Linked DNA regions of Canis lupus familiaris. The main gene of each other region encodes a partner of the protein of the gene in region 2 in a complex. Links are inferred from orthologs where the notes say so. Each region holds a gene or a part of one and is shown on either strand. Other genes may lie near its edges.

Region 1 (5,188 bases), on a different chromosome or scaffold from region 2:
CCCCCAATCTTTTAGGGGAAAAACAAGGCTCTCAGGATGGAACGCATATGTTAAATGATTGTAGAAGGAGTGGGGTGACTTGAAAGACCTGGTGAAATTTAGTTCATGGTATTTTTCTTACCTTTGCATATGTCCAATGTGGAAAATTTGGCTGCCTTGAGAATTCCTGAAGTTGCTTGCCATGTTTGTTACTAAAGTTCTGTGGTGTTAGTATTTTGACATTGTCTACTATCCATTTTTGAGTGCCTTCTGTGTGCATGTATGACTTGTACTAGGAGCAGTGAATGGGAAGGACAGAAAAGGAGCTTAATTTATTAGGAGTAATCTGAATAGGCCTATAACAACAGATTGCAAAATATTGGGGCTTACAAATAGGTATATGTACAAATTGGGGAAGATGGTGAGTGCAGTAATTTGAGAAGGGATGTAGGTTTTGAGCTGCACTTGACTTACTGAAGGAAAGCCCAAGGAGGAGGACTGTTGAAGGTCCTTATGTTGATGGAAAGTGTGATGTCTGGTCCTTGTTCAGGTGCCTTTTGGCACAAACATCATAGTCATCTGTTTCTTACTTTTCAGGCAAATGAAGATGTAACACAGATTGTGGAAATTCTCCATTCTGGGCCTAGTAAATGGAACTGGCTCACTCGGCGTCTGGTGGAATTTACCTCTTCAGGAAGTGTCCTCCTGTTTGTTACTAAAAAAGCCAATGCTGAGGAGCTAGCCAATAACCTTAAGCAGGAGGGTCATAATCTTGGGCTGCTTCATGGGGATATGGATCAGAGCGAAAGAAACAAGGTCATTTCAGATTTTAAGAAAAAGGACATCCCAGTCCTGGTGGCCACAGATGTTGCAGGTAGAGTACGACCTTCCCTGGTGATCTTCTATTCCTGTTGCTGTAAGGGTGCTCTGTCTTGAGTACATGAGCAGGCTGATTGAAGGCCCTCTAACTGGCCTGTTTGGGCACACTAAATGGAGCAAGCAGTTTAGACCATAAGTGATCACAACCTGGAGCTCTGGGTACCATCTTCACTGTATGTTTCTCTTTGAAAAAAGAATCCCTGCAGTTGAAAGATACTCAGGGAAAAATATTGTTGAGCCAGTTACATCATAGGCTATGCCTTTATGATGTGTCTAAACATAGTACCTACCTGACATTGATTGCGCGTACTTCACTCAAAGTTGAAAAGTTTTTTGAAGTATGATTTTTGGTTTTGTTTTGATAGCTACCCTTAAAAATTGGTATTTTCTCTCAATAAGGGAGATAATTTCTCGACTTCAAAGCAGTTTGATGCTTTATTTTACATATTCCTGGTGTAAGAGAGAGGCCATGGTATATTATTAATGGCAGAAGCCATGTGTCCCCTATGCTAAACAGCCTAGCATCGTAGAATTGATGATAGTGGCATTTGCTTTAGGGTAACTTTAAAGTTTGTTTGTTTGTTTTAAGATTTTATTTATTTATTCATGAGAGAGAGGGAGGGAGGAAGAAGCAGGCTCCCCAGAGGGAGCCTAGTGCGGGATTGGATCCCAGGACCCTGGGATCACGACCCAAGCTGAAGGCAGATGCTCAGCCACTGAGTCACCAGGAGCCTAAATGCTTGTATCTTACTAGATCACCAAACCATGTACTTTGTCTATATAAGAGGAATGTGGGCTCTTGGCTAGCATTTTGGGTTAGTCCGGGTTTTTTTTACTCCTACTAAAGAATAAAAAAAAGTTGGTGGTTTTTATTTCAGCCCGTGGTCTGGACATTCCTTCAATTAAGACTGTCATTAACTATGATGTGGCACGAGATATTGATACTCATACTCATAGGATTGGCCGCACGGGACGAGCGGGTGAGAAAGGTGTGGCCTATACCTTACTGACCCCCAAGGACAGCAATTTTGCTGGTGACCTTGTCCGGAACTTGGAAGGAGCCAATCAGCATGTTTCCAAGGAACTCCTAGATCTGGCAATGCAGGTGAGGGGCTGAGTACACTTGAGATTGCTCCAGGTTATAAAACTAAGTGAAAAAAATTCAGCAAGCCTGGGGGAATAACATAGACACAGGACTGGAAAGTTGCAGCCATGGGTGGGGGGCACTGCTTATGAGGTACAGATTAGTATTTTAGAACATTAAAATTCATCTGGTCTTTCATTCTATCCTCTTCTTTCAGCAACATCTATTTGAAAAGCTTATTCCTAAAATCTGTCCCTCTGAAATTTCTGCCTGCTTGCCCCATAGCAATCTCAAAGATGGCTACTTTTCCCCTTACTGTCCTTTCTCCATTCTTCTCATTTGGAGGCTAAAAACATGTAATGTCTTAAGAAAACGATGTATTTAATAGACTATTTCTCATAGACATAGGTCCCAGATCTTTGACCACATTCATTACTAACCTAAAACTAAGCTAGACATTCTACCGAATTAAATCCTGGGTCATTGTAATAGATGTCATCTCTAGATTACAAATGGGTTCAATATACACCTTCTGATAGTAGAGACTTAGGTGTTTTTAAGACTTATAAGTCAGTGTACAGGACAGTTAACCTGTACTGCACTTACAGTATGGTACTGTTGCCTGTGCTCTGGGTTCTGAGAGTAAAGGACCTGAATTGCAGGAAGGAGTAGAATGAGGTATCCTTCCCTCTCCTGGGTTCAGTGAGCCAATTGTAAACTACATTTTTTTTTTTAATTTTTATTTATTTATGATAGGCACACAGTGAGAGAGAGAGAGGCAGAGACACAGGCAGAGGGAGGAGCAGGCTCCATGCACCAGGAGCCTGACGTGGGATTCGATCCCGGATCTCCAGGATCGCGCCCTGGGCCAAAGGCAGGCGCTAAACCGCTGCGCCACCCAGGGATCCCGTAAACTACATTTTTTAACAGAATTATCTTGTCTTTGGATTTTTTCCTACATCTCTTTTTGTGCTTTAGGCTTTCTGTGCCCTCAGACTGTGATCAGCTTCCCTGGTCAGTGCTTTTCTGAAGACAGCCCTACCTCTCCAGTACTTCGCTTAGGTTGTAACATGTGATTATCAGATAAAGGGCTACCTCTCCCGTTGATATTTGTATTCTGAAAAGAACTAAATAAATCTTACAGTATGCTGGCAGTGGTCAGATTCAAGGAACACTATAGGCCATGGGTAAATAAAACTTTCAGTTATTGGCTAGCAGTCCTAAACGTCTGCTCCTAGAGCCAGTTCTGATGAACCTCGCTTCACATAGCCTTTCTTTCACTTCCAAGCCCTCTTATAAGCTCAATGTGTGTATGTCCAGTGGTATGTCTACATTGAGAAACAGAAAATCAGTTCCTTTTCCTCAAGAAAGTTAGAAATGGTCAGAGTAAGTGCTCTGTATCTGAGGCTTACCTACTCATTTCTCTTCCTGGAGGCCCTGAGAAACAGTAATAACGGAAGCCTCAGATAAGGAGCTAGGCCTCCTGACAAATTTGGTAGACTAAACTCCCAAAAGAAGCTCATCTGTGGTTCCTGTGAACGGTTGCCATAAATATACTGGCTAAAGATGAAGCAGTTTATTTCTTCCACTTTCTGATAATGTCCTCCTCCTCTGGCTGCCTCTTCCTCCTGTGATCTAACCTTGAATTATGTTGAATTGTGTGCAGAATGCCTGGTTTCGGAAATCCCGCTTTAAAGGAGGAAAAGGCAAAAAGCTGAACATTGGTGGAGGTGGCCTAGGCTATAGGGAGCGCCCTGGCCTAGGCTCGGAGAACACGGTGAGTCCAGACTGTTGTAGTGCCCTTCAGGCTGCTCCCGAGTCCTGGAGGATGCTATGATTGTCCTCCTCTGCTTGACAAAGCCTTCATGAATTCAGAACCCTGTCTAGAAGGGAATGTTTTAACTTCCTCTTGAAACACCTCTGCGTACTTGGTGACTAGACATACTCAGGAAATCAGTCTAGATTAGCAGCAGTTTACATATTGAGGTCCCTGGGCCATCAGTAAATGCAATTTCGTGTTCCACCCTAGACCTGGTGAATCAGAAACTTAAGCCCCCCAGCACTGGCTAAGAGCCTGCTGCTAGGAAAACCTTGCCATAGGGTTACTTTGTGAACTCTGTTTTCTTACTAAACTCAGGAATGCTTTCTACACTCTATGGGAAATTGCATCAGGGAGATGAGAGCTAAGCTTTTCTCACAAAACAGGTAACAAAAGCACCTCCTCACTGGCTTCTTTAACTGCCTATTTCCTGTCACTTTGATTCCTAAACCGAAGAAAGCTGCCAGTTTATGTATTTCTGGAGCAATATCATTAGCTTGGTGTTTTTGATAACGAATCGCTCCCATGTCTCAGTAACAATGATGCACATGACACATGATAACTATAGCTAATGTTGAGCACTTAATGTGTGCCAGGGCCAGCCACTGCAAGCAGTCATGCCTGTTAACTCAATCTTCACAACCACCCAGTGAGCACAGTGTACAAGTCATGAAACTGAGGCACCCCAGGTTGCACTCTGATAAATGTTGAAACTGAGACTTGGACTTTTTTAAAAGAGTGGATTCAGAGCCTGAGCCCTGTATAGGCTATATGCATATGCTATATATTGCCTCATGGCCTCTTCATTCTGAGCATAAAACTACACAGAATTACATAAACACTATGTTTGGGTTTGAATAATATCGTATGATCAGCTTTGGGGATTTTTTTATTTGACTTTAGGGTTAATTCCTAAAAACAATTACTGGGTTGAAAGACATAAGCAAAAAAAAAAAAAAGAAAGACATAAGCATTTTAAAATAATTATTACTGTACCTATTCCCACAAAATAAAGTGTCCTGTTCCCATTGTAGTGCCCACTTATTTCTAGTATATGAGACCTATTCTGGCATTGTGCTCATTCTGTCCTCACAGGTGTGTTTTGTTTTTGTTTTTGTTTTTTTAAAGGACCGAGGAAATAACAACAATGTGATGAGTAATTATGAGGCCTATAAGCCTTCCACAGGAGCCATGGGAGATCGGCTGACGGCAATGAAAGCAGCTTTCCAGGTCTGAAATTTTAGAAAGTTTTCACCAGCAACTCTCGGGACTGTGATGAGGGGCCTAGTATTTCAGAGATGGTAGCTGGAATTGAAGGCTTGAGGCTAGATTTAGGACCCTCTCACAGCTTTTGGCTTTGAGTATCAACTTTGTGGTCACTTACCTAGAGCTGTAGGTGTAGAAGGTAGAAAATCTACTGATTACAG
Region 2 (3,908 bases):
TTTATTTTTCCATTTTTGGTACAGGCATTTGTTCCCATAAAGAATGCTTTTTGTCATTTTCTTTCCTTTAAATATTTTTTTTTTTTTAGAAAATAAAAATTGCTTATGTTTTAGGTTTGCAACATGATTTAATGGATATGCATAATGAAATGATCGCTACAGTTGAGCTAATCAACACGTCCTGAAATCCACTCTCTTGGCAAATTTCTAATATTCAATACAGGATTAACTTCAATCATCATGCTGTGTGTACATTAGATCTCTAGACTTACTCATCTGTACCTAACTGCAGAACAGAACTATTTTAAAGTCATCTTTCTCCCACTAAAGAGTCCCTTCTATTTGCTGCCACAGTTGTTCATCCATTCATCAAACGTTTTTTGAGAATGCGAGCTCTACCAGGCCAAGTATCGCAAGTGTGGTTATCACAAAAAAGATGCCACAAAAGAAGCTATGATAAATGATGGCATCAAAAAAGTATACGCTACTTTCCCCCAAGTAGTTTGAATTCACACGAGGGAGTTCTCAGAAAAAAAAAAAAAAAAAAAGAACCCAAAGCGTAGGCTATAAGGCGATCATAATGAAGCGATGTACAGGAGACTTTACGTCTGTCTGGTGTGGCCAAAGCCGATTTCAAGGAGATGCTTTTGAGCTGACTTAAAGAGAGAAGTTGTTTGCCAAGGGAACAAAAGCATTCCAAGCGGAGGGAACATCTAGTACAAAGAACTGGAGAGGCGAGCGGCACGGAATGCTGAGACACACAGGCTGGGGTGCGTAGGGTGGGGCGAGCAGCTGGAGGCAGGACATCAAATGAAGCAGCTGGAGCGCCGGGGGGCGGGGGGGGGCGGGGGGGGCGGGGCTCGGTGTGGGAGCCCGAACGTGTCGGCGCCCGAACGTGTCGGCGCCCGTAGGGTCCTCGGGCACCGGGCGGGAAACGGCGGCCCCGCCAGCGCTGAAGGAAGACGCACAGCTGGGAGCCGCAGTCGCGTCGACCGATTCTCAGGGTGACCCACCCCGGGCCGTGACGGGGCCCACCACGCCGCCACATTCGCTCCGAAACCAAAGTTACACCGAGGTTACTCTCACGGCGGCCTGTGGCAGCTCCCCATTTCTTCGCAGCTCCCAGCCGCCCAGGGATGCTCCCCGCCTCCCCGACACGACGCTCCACCAGGCGCCGGCGGGCTCTTAAACCGCGACGACCGCCCAGGGAGGCGGGCGCGCACGAACCCTCGGCGACCGCAGCTCCCGGCATGCAACGCTCCGCGCTAGAGCAAGGGCCACTGAATGAACCATGATGCAACGCTCTACGGAGGGGGCGGAGCTCTCCATGGCGGGGGCGGGGGGTGGGCGGCCGACTGGTAGCGTCGCCTAGGCAACTCCAATTCCCTGACGGAATACACTTCCGCTTCCTCCTCTGAGCGCTAGGACCGCGAGTCCTCGCGGCTCCGTGGCTGTGACGTCATTCTCCTGCGACTGAGCCGGCCGGGAGGTGCCGTGTCGTGGGCTCTCTCCCGCGTGGAAGTCTAGAGCAGCTTCTCCTCTGCGGCGTCTGACCTGGGCGCGAAGGGAAAGCGGCGAGATGACTGACCGCTACACTATCCACAGCCAGCTGGAGCACCTGCAGTCCAAGTACATCGGCACGGGCCACGCCGACACCACCAAGTGGGAGTGGCTGGTAAACCAGCACCGCGACTCCTACTGCTCCTACATGGGCCACTTCGACCTTCTCAACTACTTCGCCATTGCGGAGAATGAGAGCAAAGCGCGAGTCCGCTTCAACTTGATGGAGAAGATGCTGCAGCCTTGCGGACCGCCAGCCGACAAGCCGGAGGAGAACTGACACCCCCGTCTCGTCACTGCCACGCGGGAGCGTGTCCCGAGTTCCTCCCGTTTGCCGTTTCTCCCGCGTGTTCCTGCCCCGAAGTGGACCGGTTCTCCATTGCTCCTGTTTCTCGCGCCTTCCTCGTGCACAAGTGCTTAGCTGAGGCCGTCCCGCCTGACCTGCTTTCCTGTGGACCCTTAGGAACAGCGTTGGGAGACTGTCAGGACCCGTGAGAACTGAGACGGTGGAGAGGTCCTAAACCAGCAAGAGAGGGGGGAAGGAACTGGGATCAGACGGGATTTGGAGGCTCTTTTTTGGCTAGTTGATTGTCGTTTCTTTTTCCATAAAGTCTAGAAGTTTTTCAATCACTTGGTGTGGACCACTTGCGTTTGAGTGGAAGGGGGTCCAAGGAGGGCTTTGGGGACTTTAGTTTCTTGGGAGACCGAAGAGGCGGGAGATGGATGGGTGGAGGAGTTGAGCACAGGGCCAGCGTTCATTGGCATACAGTTAAATCCGCCTTGCACGATCTTTATAATATTCCCCAACCCAGACTTCTCCCAAGAGCTTTTTTCAGGCCCATAATGCCTTCAGGACTGAGGATTAAGGTTTATGATCACTGTATCCCTCTTTCATGTTCTTGCATTCAGAAAAATCTTTACTAGCATTGCCCACTCCTCTATGTAAGTTGCATCGTCTCTTTCTCTTGGGATTCTGGACACATCCTGAAAAACGACAGGCTGTCAGACGAGTTCTTTCATTCATTCGGCATTCAACAAATACTTGTTGAGTCAGTTCTATGTGGTGGGCATTTTGCCTCGCTTTTGGAGCTTATGTTATACTTGGGGGGGCACACAAATTGTAGGCATAAACAAGTTTATTAGGTGTTGTGCAGGATGGGAGTAGCAGTACGTTTGCACTTTCAAACAAGATGCTTATGTTAGACTATAGAGATGGTTACACTTGAGCAAGACTAAGGAAGGGAGGGAAATAGTCACACAGAAAACAGGGAATTGCTTTCCAGGCAGAGGGAACTGCTAGTGCAATGGTGGTAATACTGAAATTATCTGGCTTTTTGGAGGAACATCAAAGAGGCAAATGTGGCTGGAGGGAGTGAGCAAGGGGAGGAGTAGAGGGATGGGTGATGGAGGAGGAACAGGTAAGAGTAGAGCCTGCTAGGCCAGTGCAAGAACTTGTGACTTTATCCTGAGGGGAATGAGGAGCCATTGGGACTAATGGTTTTAAGTAATGTGAGCTGACATATTTTAGATCAGTAATTCTCAAACCTTTTGGCCTTGGGACTTCATTACGTTCTTAAAAATTCTTGAATACCACAGAGTCTGTTAATGAGGGTTCTAGCTGTTGATATTCATCAAATTGGAAATTAAAACAAAATTGTAAAATATTTAGTAATTCGTGTAGATAACAATAAAACCATTACATGTTAGCAAACACACTTTATGAAAAATAACTTTTTCCAAAAGCAATTCAGTGAGAAGAATTAAAAAAAAAAAACAGTTTTGCAAATGTCTTCAATGTCAATGTCAGGTTTAACAGAAAAGAGCTGGACTCTCCTGTCTGCTTCTGTATTTGAACTATTGTGATACGAAGTTTTGGTTGAAGTCTGAAAAGTCCACAAAAATATGTGGTAAGGGAGAAATATTCTAATAACCTTTTCAAGTAATTGTGGATAATTGTTAATTCTCTAGCAAAACTCCCAAGTAGTAATTTCTTAAGTTATTTCTTAAGTAATTTCTTAAGTTATAACATGAACTCTGATCAATGAACTTTTCATTCTGTTACATTAGAATTCATTCCTCTATCTTGAACTTAGAAAGAATCCTTTACCCATACATGATTTTGTAACCTCATACATCCTTCATTTGGAAAGTATTGGCTCACAGTGATAGAGACCTTACAATGTTGACACATCTCATTATACATATCAAGAGATTACATTCATTCATATTACTACTGATCTCATCAGAGAAGTCTTACAGTATTGGGAAGCTGAAAAACTGAGAGCGATGGTATAAGTTTTCCACAATTTTAAGTTGGTCTTGATAGCTTCAATTAGGTCGGCCAGTGG
Region 3 (5,406 bases), on a different chromosome or scaffold from region 2:
ACAAGAGGGATGTGTCACATAAACAGTGAAGTTTTGAAAAGGAGACAAATGTGATCAACTGAGAATTTGAAAGCCAGATGGAGGAGGTATAAGATTATGTTCAGCTTCTGAAGGCATAAAATGAAGAAAAGCGTTTTGGGGAGAAAGAATAGCATGAGTAAGAGTACAGAAGTAGGGAGGAGCTGGGTTATGAAAGAAACAGTGAGAAGGCCAGTCTGGATGCTGCAGAGTGAGAGACAAGAGGACAAATTAACTAGAAATGGTACCCTCCCTAGGACTGCTAGTTTCCTAACATGTGAAAGTACAGAAATGACCTAGAAACCCCAGGTCCCTATCACCATTAACATTCTATGATTCTATAACAGCGAGTCTCAGTTCCTTTGCATCCACTAGCCCAAAGGTATTTTTATAATTACAGATGCCTGAAGCTCACTCACCAAGATTCTGATTCAACAGGTCTGAGAAAGGACCAGAACATTCCCATTTTTAAAAGCTTCAAGGTAAGCCTGACACAGGCCAGAAAACCACTCTTCTGACCCTCTTCCCCTTTACAGCATTACAGTATTATGTACTCCACACTTCAGCCCAGATAAAATAATTCAACACATTAGCTCCCAATTCATGACTTCCTGCTTTAATAATTCACCTATGCCTTCTAGTCCAATAATTCTAGGGGGGGGGGGAATAATCTAGAAAAAAACAGTTCCAGAGAAGTAAGATGGAAAGGTCGGGTACTTAAAACTATTGGAAACTCTTAAATATCCCCCTCATGATGAGCCAGTTGTGGGTACCATGCATTCAGGATTTCTGAGGATTTCAAAGATCCCATCCCTTTGCCTGCATAAACACAGACTCACAGACTACAGGTCTCTATCTCTAGCTATGAAAATGCGGATGCTGTATTTCTGCCAGTAATTAATAAAAAAAGGACGACTGACGGCAGAGGCTCAAGTAATCCTACCTATGTACCTCCAGGTATGCAGAGTTCTACTGCACATCCCCGGCACACCCCGGACTGGGGGGAGCCTCTGGTTAGTGACCTACTCCGCATGGGGGCCGCGGTGCTCCGCTGTTAATCTACAGGGGCTCTGCAAACCCAACCCGCCCCTCCTTCTGGAGTCCAGGACGGCAGTCGTGCAGGGATCTGGAAATCACTGCCAAGAAAAACATTTTTCAAGATAAAAATAAAAATTAGCGACTTCCCAGGAGCTTTTCCAAACCGGAGTGAGGAATATTTCTGAATGCAGACGTAGACTTAGGATGTTTGTAAGCCCAGTCTCATGGAGTGAAAACACCTGGAACAGGGCAAGTTAAAGGCCCAGGGCTGCACGACCTGCCCCCGGCGGCCGTGCCCTCGAGGGGCCCTCAGTCCGGCCTCTGAACCGCTCGGCGGCGACGGCGGAAAGGCAGCCCTCGCCACGCCGCTCGGGGCGGGGGGCCTGAGGGTCGCCGCGTGCCTCCAAGGCCTCAGCCCCGTCCGCCCCCAGGCTGCTCCCAGGTGTCCCGAGTCTGGGCGGGGAGCCCCGTCCGCGGGCGGCGCGGTACCTGCAGCAGGTGCAGCTGGGCCACGAGGCGCCGCGGCAAGCGGAGGAAGCAGTCGCGAGCGTTGGTGAAGACGACAGTCGCCGCCACCCCACCCCCGTCTGCACCCGCCAGGCGGTCGCCGCCCCACATCGTCCGGCGCCGAAGACGCCCCCGCCGCGGCAGCCCGCTCCAGCCGACGCCCGCCGCGGGGCAGGCCGAGGCCGTCGGAGCCGGAGAAGATCGATCGGCCCCGCCCCCTGCGGCCCCGCCCCCTCGCCGCGCGCCCGTCCGAGGAGGGAGGGGCAAGCAAGCTTCCCCAGCAGTCCCGGGCCTCTCCGCCGCGCCGCCGGAGGGCGGCACCTCGCTCACCCAAGTCTCACTCGCCGGAAACGATGCGGGCCGCCGTCGGCTCTCCAGCCAATCCAGGCACGCCGTGGCCCATTCCCCTCCGTCATTGGGTGGGCGGGAGGGCGGCCCGGCGGATGTTGTCGTTTTGGCCGGAGCCAAGTAGGCAAGATGGCGTCGAGCGGCGGGGAGCTCGGGGGCGTATTCGATCACCACGTCCAGAGGGCCGTGTGCGACACGCGGGCCAAGTATCGGGAGGGGCGGCGGCCTCGCGCTGTCAAGGTAAAGTGACTTGGGTTTTCACTCGCTATCCTCGATAGCGTTATCATGCCCGGCTTGATAGATGAAGGCTTGAGGGGCTGCGGGCCTGCCCACCAGGCATCGGCGGTGGGACGAGAGGCCGGCGCTCAGTTACCAGACGTTCTCACGAACTCCTCGGCTACCTGCTAGAACGTCAGCTCCGCGGGGACGGGGCTCCGCTTTAGTCTTTGTATCTTCCGTGCTTACGTGGTAAGCGCTCAGTGAATCGTTCTCGCTCTCTCTCCAGTTAACTTCTCCTGAGCCAACTTCCGGAAAATATGTCCATTGAAGATACTCTGTGTTTTAATTAGAGGCCCTGACACGGAGGGGTGAATTTATTCTTTATTTTTTCTGCAGACCGGCTGAACAGAATGTTTCTTCTTTTCAGGGCTTTAAGTTTTTTGTTTTTTTTTTTAATTTTAATTCTAGTATAGTTAACCTACAGCGTTATATTAGTTTCAGGTGTACTATATGATAATTCAGCACCTCTGTACGTTATTTAGTGCTCATCATTGTAAATGTACTCTTTAATCCCCAGAGCTTTTTCTTCTTTTTTTTTAAATAGAAGATGTGTCTTAGGCTTATTTGGAAAATACATTTTTTAATTTAAATTCAGTTAGCCAACGTATAGTACACAGTGTCAGATGCAGATGTTCAATAGTTTATCAGTTAGGTACACCACCGAGTGCTCATAACATCATGTGCCCTCCTTAGTACCCATCACGGAATTACCCCATCCCCGCCCACCTCCTCTCCAGCAACCCTCAGTTTGTTTCCTAGAGTTAAGAGTCTCTCTTGGTGTTTCTCCCTCTCTGATGACTTCCCGTTCAGTTTTCCCTCCCTTAACTACGATCCTCTGCGCTCTTTCTTATATTCCATGTATTAGTGAACTGGAGAGTATTATGTTATTTGGTGAAATAAGTCAATCAGAGAAAGGCAGGTATCACATGGGTTCACTAATATGTGGAAAATACATTTTTATGTGTCTGCATTTCTTTTAGGTATATACAATCAATTTGGAATCTCGGTACTTGTTAATTCAAGGAGTTCCTGCGGTGGGAGCAATGAAGGAATTAGTTGAGCGATTTGCTCTATATGGTGCAATTGAACAGTATAACGCTTTAGATGAATACCCAGCAGAAGACTTTACGGAAGTTTATCTTATTAAATTTATGAATTTACAAAGTGCAAGGTAATGTGCAAGTTAAGCTTAAGTTTCATTTCCGCCATTCCCATTGCTAGCACATTGGTCCCAGTTGTCCCTCGTTCATACCTGAATTACTGAGTAACGCTGTATTATTTTAATCTTACTCCAGTCTTTTTTTTTTTTTTCTTTTTAAGATTTTACCCATTTATTCACGAGAGACACAGAGAGAGAGGTAGAGACACAGGCAGAGGGAGAAGCAGGCTCCCTGCAGGGAGCCGGACGTGGGACTTGATCCCAGGTCTCCAGGATCACGCCCTGGGCTGAAGGCAGGTGCTAAACCGCTGAGCCACCCAGGCTGCCCTATCTTAACTCCAGTCTTAAATGTCATTACCTTGCTTAACAATCTTCAGTCATATATTGTGGTAGATTACAAAATGGGTTTGGATAAGTTTTCGAACTTCACAGCTTACTAACATCGTGACTTTGGACAAGTCATTTAACCTCAACAAGCCTGTTTTTTCTAGTCTCTGAAATCTGTACAGTAAAAGGACCTACTTTGAGGGTTGTGTGAGGATGGTATGAAATAATCCATGTAAAGGGCTGAAACATAGTGCCTCCTGTTGAGAATGCAGTAAACATTAGCTATTGAAGTTCTTTTTTTTTTTTTTTTTTCTTTAAACTTGCTGGGATTTTTTTTTTTTTTAAAGATTTTATTTATTTATTCATGAGAGACACACAGAGAGAGAGAGAGGCAGAGACACAGGCAGAGGGAGAAGCAGGCTCCATGCAGGGAGCCCGACATGGGACTCAATCCTGGTCTCCAGCCGCTGAGCCACCTGGGCTGTCCGCTATTGAAGTTCTTAATGTTATGCACCTATGTGAATTGACTCAGTCTTTTCCTGCCTTCTGCATAAATTCTGTGCTTCAATAAGGGTGAAATGCCTCATCTAGTTTTATGTTTACCCCATTCTTGTCACTAATTTGCTCCAATATCCATCCTTTGGCTATTACCATTCATACTTCCTTTTTCTCTTTAAAAAAAAAAAAAAAAAAAAGATTTTAATTACTGTATCCCCAACATGCTCAAACTTACAGCACCAAGATCAAGCATCACATGGTCTACCGACTTAGTCAGTCAGGTGCCCCACCATTCACATTGTCTTTCCGTACTCCAAATAGCACTTGCAGTCTGCCACAAAAGCACTTGATTTTTATAGGGTTATGTATTGTTCTCAGTTTGCTCCCTTATGTGATCTCACTTCCCCTAACCAACTTCCCCTCATAGTTAGCGAAGCATATTTTCTAGAGTTTTTGCATCTCCCACAGCACATAATATGGTAGGTTGTGGAGTTCAGCATCTCAATTTGAATCATAACTCCACAAACTAGTGTGAGCATGGCTAAATTATAAATCTCCTGAGGCCTCCTTAGGTCCTCATAGGGTTTTATGAAATCTTAATTCAGGTGAAGTACTTAGGGCACTGCCTGGTGTGTGATAAAATCTCAATAAGTATTTCTATCATTATCCCTAGACACGCAAGTACTTAAATATTTATTGTAGTATAATGCTTAGCCAGTTACATATGTTTGATAAGTATTTGTTGAATATCATCATGTAACTTTCTCGTTGCTTATATATTCAATATTTACTCAATTATTGAAGATTTTACTATTACAATATTTTTATTTGTGAATCCATTGTGCTGAAAAGGCTAAATTGGGTATGAGCTGACTCTTAAGGGACATTTAACACAGAGAAATCTCTATTTCATGACCACAGATTGTGTACCTCAAGTTAACTATTGGCTCCTAAGTTGGTTAAAGGGAGTCTGGTTATGTGTGGATGACTTAGCTCAAAATCTGTTAGTAGTATAGAGCGAGGGGATGAAAGGCTTGAAGAGTATGCACTAGATCAGTAGAGTTAATACCATACACAAGTAGAACATCTTAACTCCCAAACCATAGGATGTATGTACACCTAGCAAAACCTGGACTTTTGGATCAATGCATTGTATACTATTTCAGCTTTCATCCTAAGTAGGTCAAGATTAATAAAACATGCTATCACATATTTCTGTTTAGGACAGCCAA

The links.
Region 1: the proteins of SF3B5 (region 2) and DDX42 are in contact, whole or in part, in a cryo-EM structure (PDB 7EVN), measured with the Homo sapiens proteins. The link is inferred for Canis lupus familiaris from reciprocal best matches to the Homo sapiens genes SF3B5 and DDX42. Residues at the interface, in NP_112577.1 of Homo sapiens: Arg4, Tyr5, Thr6, Ser9, Gln10, His13, Leu14; in NP_031398.2 of Homo sapiens: Asp156, Ala159, Tyr160, Phe161, Tyr163, Met164, Asn167.
Region 3: SF3B5 (region 2) and RBM48 share a complex: the UniProt entries of both Homo sapiens proteins name them as parts of the minor spliceosome. The link is inferred for Canis lupus familiaris from reciprocal best matches to the Homo sapiens genes SF3B5 and RBM48.

Annotation. Positions count from the first base shown.
Region 1 is NC_049230.1:15,154,443-15,159,630, reverse strand, and holds part of DDX42 (ATP-dependent RNA helicase DDX42), read left to right. Parts: intron 1-576; coding exon 577-853; intron 854-1,736; coding exon 1,737-1,963; intron 1,964-3,608; coding exon 3,609-3,719; intron 3,720-4,889; coding exon 4,890-4,991; intron 4,992-5,188. UniProt on the Homo sapiens protein: ATP-dependent RNA helicase that binds to partially double-stranded RNAs (dsRNAs) in order to unwind RNA secondary structures. Unwinding is promoted in the presence of single-strand binding proteins.
Region 2 is NC_049222.1:35,793,749-35,797,656, reverse strand, and holds SF3B5 (splicing factor 3B subunit 5), read left to right. Parts: upstream 1-1,445; 5' UTR 1,446-1,579; coding exon 1,580-1,840; 3' UTR 1,841-2,190; downstream 2,191-3,908. UniProt on the Homo sapiens protein: Component of the 17S U2 SnRNP complex of the spliceosome, a large ribonucleoprotein complex that removes introns from transcribed pre-mRNAs.
Region 3 is NC_049235.1:18,067,555-18,072,960, forward strand, and holds the start of RBM48 (RNA-binding protein 48), read left to right. Parts: upstream 1-1,995; 5' UTR 1,996-2,006; coding exon of another isoform or gene 2,007-2,040; coding exon 2,041-2,151; intron 2,152-2,223; exon of another isoform or gene 2,224-2,379; intron 2,380-3,170; coding exon 3,171-3,361; intron 3,362-5,397; coding exon 5,398-5,406. UniProt on the Homo sapiens protein: As a component of the minor spliceosome, involved in the splicing of U12-type introns in pre-mRNAs.